3 linked regions of the Callithrix jacchus genome follow. The protein of the gene in region 2 interacts with the protein of the main gene of each other region in a pairwise test. Links are inferred from orthologs where the notes say so. Each region holds a gene or a part of one and is shown on either strand. Other genes may lie near its edges.

Region 1 (3,749 bases), on a different chromosome or scaffold from region 2:
ACAACAGAATAGAAAGTCTAGAAATAGACACAAGTAAATATGCTAATGTTATATATCAAGGGCAGCATTTAAATTCTGTTGGGGCAGTTTGTTTAACAAATGTTGTTGACATACTGGCTCTCCATCGGGCAGAAGTTAGACCCCAGCTCACACATGCATAAGAATAAATTCCAGTTATATTAAAGATTTAAATTTTTTTTTTTTTTTGAGACGGAGTTTCGCTGTTGTTACCCAGACTGGAGTGCAATGGCACGATCTCGGCTCACTGCAACCTCCGCCTCCTGGGTTCAAGCAATTCTCCTGCCTCAGCCTCCCGAGTAGCTGGGACTACAGGCACGCACCACCATGCCCAGCTAATTTTTTGTATTTTTAGTAGAGACGGGGTTTCACCATGTTGACCAGGATGGTCTCGATCTCTCGACCTCGTGATCCACCCTCCTCGGCCTCCCAAAATGCTGGGATTATAGGCGTGAGCCACCCCGCCCGGCCAAAGATTTAATTTTTTTTTTAATAAAAAGAAGAGGGGTGGGTGCGTTGGCTCACGCCTGTAATCCCAGCATTATGGAAAGCCGAGGCGGGTGGATCATTTGAGGACAGGAGTTCGAGATCTGATTAGCCAACACAGCGAAAACCGGTCTCTACGAAAAATATAAAAATTAGCCAGGCGTGGTGGCGGGCGCCGGTAATCCCAGCTACTCGGTCGGCTGAGGCACGAAAATCGCTTGGACCCGGGAGGCGGAGGTTGCAGTGAGCCGAGATCGCACCAAAGTACTCCAGCCTGTGCAACAGAGCAAGACTGTGTCTCAAAAAAAAGAGAAAAGTTAAAAAAAGGAAAAGAAATGAAAAAGCTAATTCACTGGGGAAACTTGGGGAAACTTTCTAAGCTGGTAGCCGAGCGTGCGACCTTCTCATTCCGCCTCTTCCATTGGGTTCCCATGACTTACGTCGCAGGATATGTAGCCAATGGGAACTAGGCATGGGTGAAGAGCTCACCAATGGGGTAGGGGCGGGAGATTTGAAAGGTCCTGGATCAGGGCGCGGCGTGACTGATTCAGTTGCTTGCGGGAGGCAGGGAGAGTAGCAGTGCCTTGGGCTCCAGGTGAGCTGGCCTCCTTTCACAGGCCTTGCGCCGGGAGTGGGCAGATGATCGGGCAGGTCGGAGGTCCACCGGGCTGGCCCGCGCGCACTCCGCAAGGCTGGAAGGAGGTAGGGACGATAGCAGGGTGGGGGAGGTGAGACCAGCGCCTGGACTGGGGCTAGTGTGCTGACCTGGTCCTTTTTACGAGCCCAGGCTAGCGCTTTCGACCCGATCGCTCCAACCCCTCCCTCTCTTTCTTTTTCTCTGCTTCTCACGGCTGTTTCCCTTCTCCGCCCAGCTCTTCTCCGCCTTTCCCTCTAAGGATGGCCCAGAAGGAGAACGCCTACCCCTGGCCCTACGGCCGGCAGACGGTAAGGCCCTTCCCTCCATCCCCGCCCCCACCTTGTCCCTGCACGGCGAGTTCCTGCTGGGAGACTTGAGATCCTGCAGTGAGCAATCCTTTAAGCACCTTCTTCCCCGTTCTGCTCCAAAGTACGGGTCCCAAGAATTTGGTGACAGAACCCAGAATGGTCATTTATAGCCACATCCTGCCAACTTTAATCTGACAAGCCAGTGACTCCCAACCGGTGAGGACCCCTGGGGCTGAGCCTGCTCATCACATACCAATGATATCTGGGACTGAGTAGGCAGGGCCTGGCCTTCACAACCCATGTGCTGAAAAAATAAACTAGGCAGCAAATAGAAAGGACTCTAAAAGGCTATAAGGTTACTGTTGAAACAGTCCAGGGCAAGTCTAAATTAATAATTTGGAATTTATTTTAATGACTAAGGTGAGGTAAGGATCTAAATGGACTTATTTCCCAATTGTCCAGACAGATTTCATTGAAGGGTCTCCCCTGATTTTTTATTATATATAAATTCCCACATAGGTGTGGGTCTATTTCTGGACTGTATTTTATTCAACTTGGTTATTTGTAGATCTATACCAATATCACTTTGGGGAACAGGTTTTTAGAGGCACTGGGACTTTCTTCTCTTGGCTGAAGAAGACAGAAGGGGCCCTGCACAGGTTTTGCTCCCTGCTTGTGGAGCTCGGGCTTCCTAAAGAGTCTGTGTCCTTGTGCATCAGCTCCCTCCCTCATGGAGCACTGAATGAGGCTGTCAGGAATGGAGTCTGGATGAGAAACCACTGTCACTTTTACCTTGGTCACTCCTAAAAGTGCATCTATTACTTTGAGAAGTTGAAAGTGAGGCTGGGCACGGTGGCTCACGCCTGTAATCCCAGCACTTTGGGAGGCTAAGGCAGGTAGATCATGAGAACAAGATATCGAGACCATCCTGGCCAACATGGTGAAACCCTGTCTCTACTAAAAGTACAAAAATTAGCTGGGCATGGTAGTGGGCACCTTGTAGTCCTAGCTACTCGGAAGGTTAAGGCGGGAGAATCGCTTGAACCTGGGAGGCGGAGGTTGCAGTGAGCTTAGATTGCACCACTGCACTCCATCCTGGGCAACAGAATGAGACTCTGTCTCAAAAAAAAAAAAAAAAAAAAAAGAAGTTGAAAGTGAGAAGTGGTCTAGGCCCATCAGAGTAGCTCTTAGTGTCCCTAAAGCCTGTTCTTGCAAAGCTGTAAATCCAGGTTGTTGCTATAACATTCAAGGCCTCAAGGATCTTATCTAAGCCTTAATAAACTAAACTTTAAGGAAACTCTGAGAATACCTCTGTGCTAACCCCCTTGAATTATAGGTGTTTATTGACCCAGCCCTCTACTATGCTGTGAGTGAGGGGCTGGATGAATGACTGTGGTGTTATGGACAGATTGGACACCTTCATGCCTGTGAAGGTGGTGTGGGCCAGGGACAAAGAGGTGAAATGTTAGCTGTTGGGGTGAGTCCTTTGCCCCTTATCTTAGGCCTACTTAGGTTTATTAATAATCCATTTTAATATGATACTACAAGCAGAGCCTGGGAAGCAAAACTGTCATGTCAGTGTTTCTATTTGAATTGGGGGTGGGCGGGTGACTGGCTTTTTAGCAGAGGGCTGAAATGCTGCTTGCAGCACATTCCACCCCGGTCATCAAACAAAGGCACCCTCAGAGCTACCCCCTGCTCCTTCTCAGACTCCATCTGGCCTGAGCACCCTGCCCCAGCGAGTCCTCCGGAAAGAGCCTGCCACCCCATCTGCACTTGTCCTCATGAGCCGCTCCAATGTCCAGCCCACAGGTAACTGGGACAAGGGGGAGAGGACTGACTTGGGGAGATGAGAGTCTATGGGAGGGTGTAGGGAGGAGAATGTCATCCCTGTTCTCATTCAACTTACCTGTTCTCTCCTTAGCTGCCCCTGGCCAGAAGGTGGTGGAGAATAGCAGCGGGACACCCAACGTCTTAACGTAAGTGCCCCAAGCCTTGGGGTGGACAGGGATGAGGGGGGCAGTGAACATGCAGGAAGTCGGGGAGGTAAAATCTAAGGGCAGGAGGAGTAGGAATGAAGAAAAATGGGGCTGAGGACAGGATGGGATGAGGAAGCAGGGAAAAAGCAAACATCTTAGATAACCAAAACTGGTTCTGAGCTGCCTTCCCCCACTTTCTAAGCAGGCGGTCCTTCACAATTGATGACTTTGAGATTGGGCGTCCTCTGGGCAAAGGCAAGTTTGGAAACGTGTACTTGGCTCGGGAGAAGAAAAGCCATTTCATCGTGGCACTCAAGGTCC
Region 2 (3,749 bases):
TGTATTAAAATCCAAACCACGGCTAGGTGCGGTGGCTCACGCCTATCCCAGCACTTTGGGAAGCCCAGGCGGGCAGATCACAAGGTCAGGAGTTCCAGACCATCCTGGCTAACACGGTGAAACCCCCGTCGCTACTAAAAATACAAAAAATTAGCCAGGCGTGGTGGCAGGCTCTTGTAGTCCCAGCTACTCAGGAGACTGAGGCAGGAAAATCGCTTGAACCTGGAAGGCGGAGGTTGCAGTGAGCCGAGATGGCGAAACTGCATTCTGGCCTGGCGACAGAGCAAGACTCTGTCTCAAAAAAAAATCTAAACCACTTCAAGATTTGGTCACATGTGCACGTGTTATCCTCCTGTCACTCTTCCCCACTTAATCATTGAGAGGTCACTCTGACATGACAGTTCCTAGCGCAAGCCAAGTTTATTGTTCCCTAAACCACTCAGCCTTTGCCCATTTTAGTTTAAATATCGTTTCAGAAAGCCATTTCGATTGTCTATTAAAGCACTCTTCCTTCTCACTACTTATTTTGATTATTTATTTTTACCTATTTCCTCCCACTGAATGCAAATCCCATGAGAAACGGGGGTATGTTCTGTTCATGGCTTTTTCTTGAACACGTGGAATATATTAGCGCTCAATAAATATCTTTAATCAAACATCTTTAATCCTACTAAAAAGCGTTATACTCATAGAAACGGCACTAATTCTGCTGTAAAATTCCGAGCTGAATTCAAAGATGATACGCTTGAAGTGAAACTTCCCAAGAGCCTGAGCATAAAAAGGTGAAGTGGATGCCATCAAGACACTGGGTCTGGGCCGGGACGCCGAGGAGCACAGGTGACTTGGCCACTACTGCATTTTCTACTCTTTGTGACAGTATACGAGCATCTCTTACTTTTGCTTAAAGAAAGAATAAAGTGACGAGGAGAGAATAAAAGATAAATAATAATTCCTAGGAAAGGAATACAGCAGCTTCTCAAATACCACGACGCCTGGCAGCTCAAAGAACGCGGACTGAAGGCCTTTGCCTTCCGTTACCCCCTCCACCTCTGCTTCGGCACTTGCACGCCTCCCGCCTCTAGCGTCCCGCTTCTTTCCCACAATACTCCTCGTCCTAGGGTACGCAGCCGCAGAACGAACCATAGAGAAAAAGGCTATTGGTTGGTGATGCAGCCAATGAGCTGGCCTGTTACTAGTCTGCGGTGTCCTGTGGTGTAGGGGAAGCGCTTTAGGCCTGGAAGCCCTACGCGTCCGGTTGGGTTTAGCACGATGAGCTCCATCGGCACCGGGGTGAGTTTGCTGTCTCTCTGTGTCATAGTCTAACCTAAGGTTTGGGTTTGAAGGGAACTCCAGCAGACCACATGGGGTGCCCGGACCCGGGGTGCTCTGGGGCCGTCTTCGGCTGGGTGGGCCACTTGCAGCTGTTTGGAGACCGGTCATCTTTATCCCCTCTATGCTAGGCCCGCGTCTCAGGTGACTGTGACTCCTGAAGCTTTTCAGCCCGGGTGTAGCCGGTTTGGCGTCCCCGCAGTGAGGTTTGGAGCAGCTTTGGATTGCTGAGTCACTTTCTTCAGCCGCTTAGGGAAACCGAAAGTGGAAACTCATGCGGCTTGAAATAGTGCGTTCTCTTGAGACAGCCACCGAGGCAGTGCGGTTTGGGATTCCACAGTCTGGAGACCGTGCTTTCTGTGGACTGCGTTTGCAGTTCCCAGGGTGCTGCCGATTCACGGGCCCTCTCTGTCTTTCCTTTAAGTGTACTGATCATCGACCGCTCAGCCTAAGAGTCACTGGAAACCCTGTCGGAACAGAATTAAAATGATCCGAAAAGCTAAAATCTCCTGAATCCTTCAGTATTTCCCTTGTCCTTGTTTTTCCTGCAAAAATTACCTTGCTTTGTCCTTGTTTTTCCTGCAAAAATTACCTAACAGCGCTTTAAGGCATTTATTCCGTAAATGTTTAAATGATCACATAGAAACTTAACCATTTCAGACTTTTGATAGACTGTTCTTGCAGTGAGACCTGTTTACTTGTTTGGCTTTCCTTTGTTAAACGTATAGCCTATGTGCAGTCAGTTTACTCCTTTTATGTACTTCTCTACATAAAAAATACAGTTTCTAAAAGATTTATTGGTCATTTGCACTAGAGTTATTGAATAATGAGTTTCTCAGTTCATCAATTTCTACTTCTTAACAAGATTCTCATGCTCAGCCTTAAGTTCAAGTACTGGTGTCTAAATTTGATAATAGGCAACTCAGTGTCTGGAGGGGTTAAATCCATTCGGTTATGAATGCTAAGTTCTGCCATACTTTTCTTGGATAAGTGCTCAGTAATCTTGTAGCAAATTGACGTTGCAACTGTATTAATATTACTTTCAATTAATAGTATTTCATTCTACAAATTTTTTTTTTTTTTTTTTTGAGATGGAGTCTCGCTATGTTGCCAGGCTGGAGTTCAGTGGTGCAATCTCGGCTCACTGCAACCTCCACCTCCCGGGTTCAAGCGCTTCTCCTGCCTCAGCTTCCCAAGTAGCTGGGACTACAGGCATGAGCCACTGTGCCCAGCTAATTTTTCTATTTTTATTTTTATTTTTGAGATGGAGTTTCGCTCTTGTTACCCAGGCTGGAGTGCAATGGCACGATCTTGGCTCACCGCAACCTCCGCCTCCTGGGTTCAGGCAATTCTCCTGCCTCAGCCTCCTGAGTAGCTGGGATTACAGGCACGCGCCACCATGCCCAGCTATTTTTTTGTATTTTTAGTAGAGACGGGCTTTCACCTTGTTGACCAGGATGGTCTCGATCTGTTGACCTTGTGAGCCACCTGCCTTGGCCTCCCAAAGCGCTGGGATTACAGGTGTGAACCACCGTGCCTGACTTAGCAAGTTCATTTTTATTTATTTTTTTACTATACCCTCAAAAAGTATTCCTTTCCACCTCTTCTCTAAGCTACTACCATTGTCTTTGGAACACTTTATCTTTACTTCTGTTGTTCTCTCAACAGTTCATTTTCCACATAAAACCAGAATGAGGTTTTGAAAAATGTAGATCGTACCACCCCACTGCTTAAATCCTCATTGCATTTAGAATAAAATACAAAGTCCTTATTCCATCCTAGAAGACCCATCATAATTTGGCCCTCAACTACCTCACTAACACAGTCTGCTCTTTTTTTCTGCTTCTTACAGTGCTTGGGACACAGTGAGCTTACTTCTGTTCCTTGACTGTGCTAGCCTTCTTTCAACCCTAAGATCTTTGTGCCAAATGCCAAGAAGGCTTTTCCATCATATCTTAAATGGCTAGCTCCTTGTCATTTAGGTTTGACTCATCCTAAATATAACTGCCCCAGAAGGCCTTCCCTGATGATGTAGTCTGTAGTAGTTTCTTCTATCGCTTTACTCTTTTATTTTCATCTTAGTGCCTTTTCTGATTTGCTGCTGTATCTCTGGCACCTGGATTCCTGTCTGATTTGAAATTGAAGGACTTGGTGAATGAGTGGTCATCTTTGTATTCCATATTAGACCAACATAATAGATGCTCATTAAGTGTTTGATGAGTTGAATGAAGTCTTTTAGTTTGTTAATGGCAGAGTTATGATTACAAATTTAAATATTCTAACTCCAGTGCTGGTTCTAAATATTAATCTTTTTCAAAAACCAGGTTTTGTGTGTGTGTATGTGTGTGTGTGTGTGTGTGTGTGTGTGCGCGCGCGCGCGCGCACGTGTGTGGGTTTTTTTTTTTTTTTTTTGAGATGGA
Region 3 (3,749 bases), on a different chromosome or scaffold from region 2:
TGATGCCATTTTACATTTGGGGACACTGAGACTTAGAGCAGTTAAGTACCTGGCCTGAGGCCCATCATCAGTAAGCAAGGAAGCTGAAATTCAAACTCAAATTAGTGTGACAACAGCCTGTGCCCTATTCACTCTAATTTGACTCACATCTCAGCACACAGATCTACAGGACACACATCCTAACATGATTTAAAATGTATGTAAGAAATTATAATTTAGTTATGTGTATAGTTTTGGCAGAAATGAGTGAGTAAAATATTGTATGTCTCAAATTCTGGATCACTTCAAACTGGAATTCCCCCAATGATATCACACCATGACCCCCAAGGAATCACACACTGGAAGTTTCCACAAATGCCAACTCACTCTTTGGAGTTGAGTGAGTAAAGATAGATTGAGTGGTAGTGACTTAGACTAAACCAGTCGATGGCTTTTGTTCTTCAGGTGGCTAAAGTTCTTATTCCCCAGGATCCGAGAAATAATTTCACGGCAATGACTTAACAACTTAAATGGAAATATTGAGTACAATTTTTTCTTTTAAAGAAAACTGCATATCCTCAGCTTCTTAATCTCAAGCCATAGCGAAGACTCATGCTAGCAGTGGGGCTGTTTTCTGAGCCACTGGCCTACCCACCTTGTGCCTTCCTTGTCTTTAATTTAATTGCCTTTCTTGTCTTTAACAGATGACTCTGCTGTCATTTGTTTCCTATTGTGTTGCATCTGATGCTTTCACTCAGTAAACAAAATTAGAATGTGTTCTGTGATGTTGTTTTAATTGGACACAAAATTAAACACATTATCAAGAGAAATGAAACTGAAAGGAGCAAGTGAAGATCGCAGACCTGCGTTTTCTTCTGGGGCCACAACTGCTGATAAATGATGCAATAATCCCTGAACAATCTATCCCGGCTACCGTTTGATCTGAAGATCTATAAAAATTGAGTAGTTAGCGGAGGAGGTAGGGTAGCTGGAAACCATTTTCAATTGTTACTAGAATAATTTTGCATCAGCAAGCTGGCAAACTCTAATCACGTCTCTTTACATTGCTCCTTTTATGGTGCTCCTAAGGAAAGTCTATTGAAAAAAGGAGACGAACAAAGAGGTCTGACTAATGGAACAAAAGCTACATCACAGTCTAGTTCTATCATGTTTTCTCATCCTTCATAAGATGATGGTTCATTTTTGAATAAAGATTAATTACTTGCATGTGGTTAAAGCATAGTCTGGCCAAATTAATTTAAAAAATGAGAGTCTAGCTATTTTTATCTTACTCTTCACATCCCAGGTGATTTCAGTCAGTAAATTTCATAGGAGTGAATATTTTTTAAAAGTGTGCATGGCCATTGGCTTTCCCCCATTCGGCATCTCTCTGAATTGAAGTATTAATATTGGAAAACATACTGAGTCTCTCGGAGTGACCTTTCTGACCTATTTTTGACAACATGATTTCGGCTCCCCCATGGCTTGTGAGGATGGGTTCCTGGTAACATTATCCTTTATGAAAAATTTAACTGAAGCCAGTTAGACTTTTAAAAACTAGTTGTCTATATAAGCCTGACTAGCTGGCTGTGCTCTATTTGGTGCTTGGAAAACCAGGCACTGAGTGAATGTTTTTCAATTGTGCTATAACTTAGTTTTCCCCTCCTACTGACATAAATGATCAATCTTAATCCTCCGATTCTAGCTGCATATTGTTTTCCAAAACTAAAGCTATATGCCCCAAAACCTTTGCCTTCTTTCATGTGGCAGATGACATTGCACATGGAACCTGAACACATAAGCTCCCCACATGCAGAACTATTTCCAAGTGACATTCCCTTCTTTCTTTCCCTCCTACTTTGGTGATGCAGAATAACCATCATATAACAATTAACAATTGTCCTTTAGGGGGATGCGGAATGGAAAGAAAAGAACAGGAGAAGGGCACCTCAATCCAGGCAACATGTTAACAAAAACCCCAGAGAAAAACCACCGTCCTTAACAGACAGCCTGATAAGGTTTCCAGGACATAGTACTGAGGAAGAGCAAATTCTACAGTGGGACATACCTCATACTCCAGTGGCTCCTGGTTCACCCAGCCACATGATCTACGCCAAAATTCAGATTTAACACAGTGTCCTCTTTAGTCCCAATGTAATTCTATTTCTAGTTTTACCAGCCTTAGCTCTGCAAAGCATCAGTAGTCCCTTACAAAAAACGGTATTAGCTTAAATTCTGGGCCATCTATCACTCACACCCTTTGGTTAAGGCTATACTCAGTAAGGTATTTTCTGTTGAAGATGCCCACAGCAGTATCCACCCCAGGAACCTTGAAATGGAAGCAGAAATGATTGCATGGGTAACTTACCAGCTCCTGAGGTCTGAATGGCTGCAGCAGCCCCACTCCTTTACCTGATCCCTGCTCTCTCTGTCTCTCTCCCTCTCTCTCTCCCTCTTTCACTTGTGTACAGATTGCAGGGAACTTAAAGAACTCGCAGGGACAGTGTTTCGAATGACTTAAGAAAGAGAACAGGAACAATACTTCGTTCTCTTTTTCTCAGATGAGTACCTTCGGGAAGAAGGAAGGAAGGGAGGGGAGAGGGAGGAAGTCAACAACCCTTTGCTTTCCTGAAAAAAAATAAGGAAACAGAAGATAGACATCTCATTTTCTCTTAAACAAAATGTTGGAAGGGGCAAAAAAGAAAAAAATCTTTGAAAAAAGGAATTCCTCAAGTATGCTCTCTGCCCTGGGAGCTTTAAAGAGATGAAAACGCCTTAGTGGCCTGTCCTGTCCAAACAAATGGTGTTCCAGAAAGGCAGGCTCTCCCGTGCTTGCAGCCTCTGGTATCTGGTTTGCAGAACTGACACAGCCGAAAGGGAGCAAATCATGTCATGTCGACTCAGAGCAAGGGAGAGCTTGGCCTGTTGTGCTAACCAAGGTAAACCTGCAGCCTGTAAGACAGTGTCAGGGCTGGTCAGCCAGGACTCTTGGCTTTTCCTAGGCCCTTTGAAACACCAGCGTTCCTGCAATTCCTCGGCTGACTCTGGATCCTTAGAGTTTTTCCAGAATCAAATAGCAAACTTATGCTCTGGTCCCCGAGCTTTATGCAGTGGACCCAATCCAGCTTCCATCACTGATGGACGAAAAAGGGAAAAGAAGCAACTAACCACAACTGCTGCAGGACATGGCTGTCTCAGATCTGTTGTTTATATTATCCTATCCTCTACATTCCTAAGGCTTCTTGGATTTAGTCACCTCTGGAAAACTGGAAGGAGATTTCTAATTTCAAAATACTGCCAAGCAGCATAGGGCTTAGATAAATCAGCCACAATTTTTGAAAAAATATGGGGGAGGCAGGAGCAGAAAAACGTGGAGGAAGTACCCTTTATCAAGGTAGAAGACTTGGGACTTCAGCAGGCAGGCTTGAGCTCTGCTTAGGCTTAGCTGCACTTAGGTATAAGCTCAGTTTTAACTTCTCAGATTTGTGTTATGTCTTTTGCACCCCTCATTCATCTGGTTAGGATCATTTTCACTGTGAAAAGGAACTGGCAGTTATGTAGACCTTTGTGGCAGCAAAAGAAAAACTAGCTTTACACTACTTCCTCATTTCACCTAATTGTGAAAAAAATGAGGTGAACAGATACACCTGATTGCAAAGAGTCACAAAAGTGAGTTCAGGGAAAGAACGATTGTGAATCAGTGACCCTGTAAGATTTTGATTAGGTCCTTATTGGCCTATAGGATTATGTTTTTATTCTGACAGGTTTTT

What was found.
Region 1: the proteins of PSMA3 (region 2) and AURKB interact in a two-hybrid assay, tested with the Homo sapiens proteins (2 studies listed by BioGRID and IntAct). The link is inferred for Callithrix jacchus from reciprocal best matches to the Homo sapiens genes PSMA3 and AURKB.
Region 3: the proteins of PSMA3 (region 2) and ZNF366 interact in binary tests that used the Homo sapiens proteins (3 or more experiments, as listed by UniProt). The link is inferred for Callithrix jacchus from reciprocal best matches to the Homo sapiens genes PSMA3 and ZNF366.

The regions. Positions count from the first base shown.
Region 1 is NC_133506.1:74,675,305-74,679,053, reverse strand, and holds the start of AURKB (aurora kinase B), read left to right. Parts: upstream 1-1,053; 5' UTR 1,054-1,206; intron 1,207-1,376; 5' UTR 1,377-1,401; coding exon 1,402-1,449; intron 1,450-3,158; coding exon 3,159-3,261; intron 3,262-3,373; coding exon 3,374-3,428; intron 3,429-3,633; coding exon 3,634-3,749. UniProt on the Homo sapiens protein: Serine/threonine-protein kinase component of the chromosomal passenger complex (CPC), a complex that acts as a key regulator of mitosis.
Region 2 is NC_133509.1:92,903,400-92,907,148, forward strand, and holds the start of PSMA3 (proteasome subunit alpha type-3), read left to right. Parts: upstream 1-1,183; 5' UTR 1,184-1,269; coding exon 1,270-1,290; intron 1,291-3,749. UniProt on the Homo sapiens protein: Component of the 20S core proteasome complex involved in the proteolytic degradation of most intracellular proteins. This complex plays numerous essential roles within the cell by associating with different regulatory particles.
Region 3 is NC_133503.1:138,634,328-138,638,076, reverse strand, and holds the start of ZNF366 (zinc finger protein 366), read right to left. Parts: upstream 2,474-3,749; 5' UTR 2,348-2,473; intron 1-2,347. UniProt on the Homo sapiens protein: Has transcriptional repression activity. Acts as a corepressor of ESR1; the function seems to involve CTBP1 and histone deacetylases.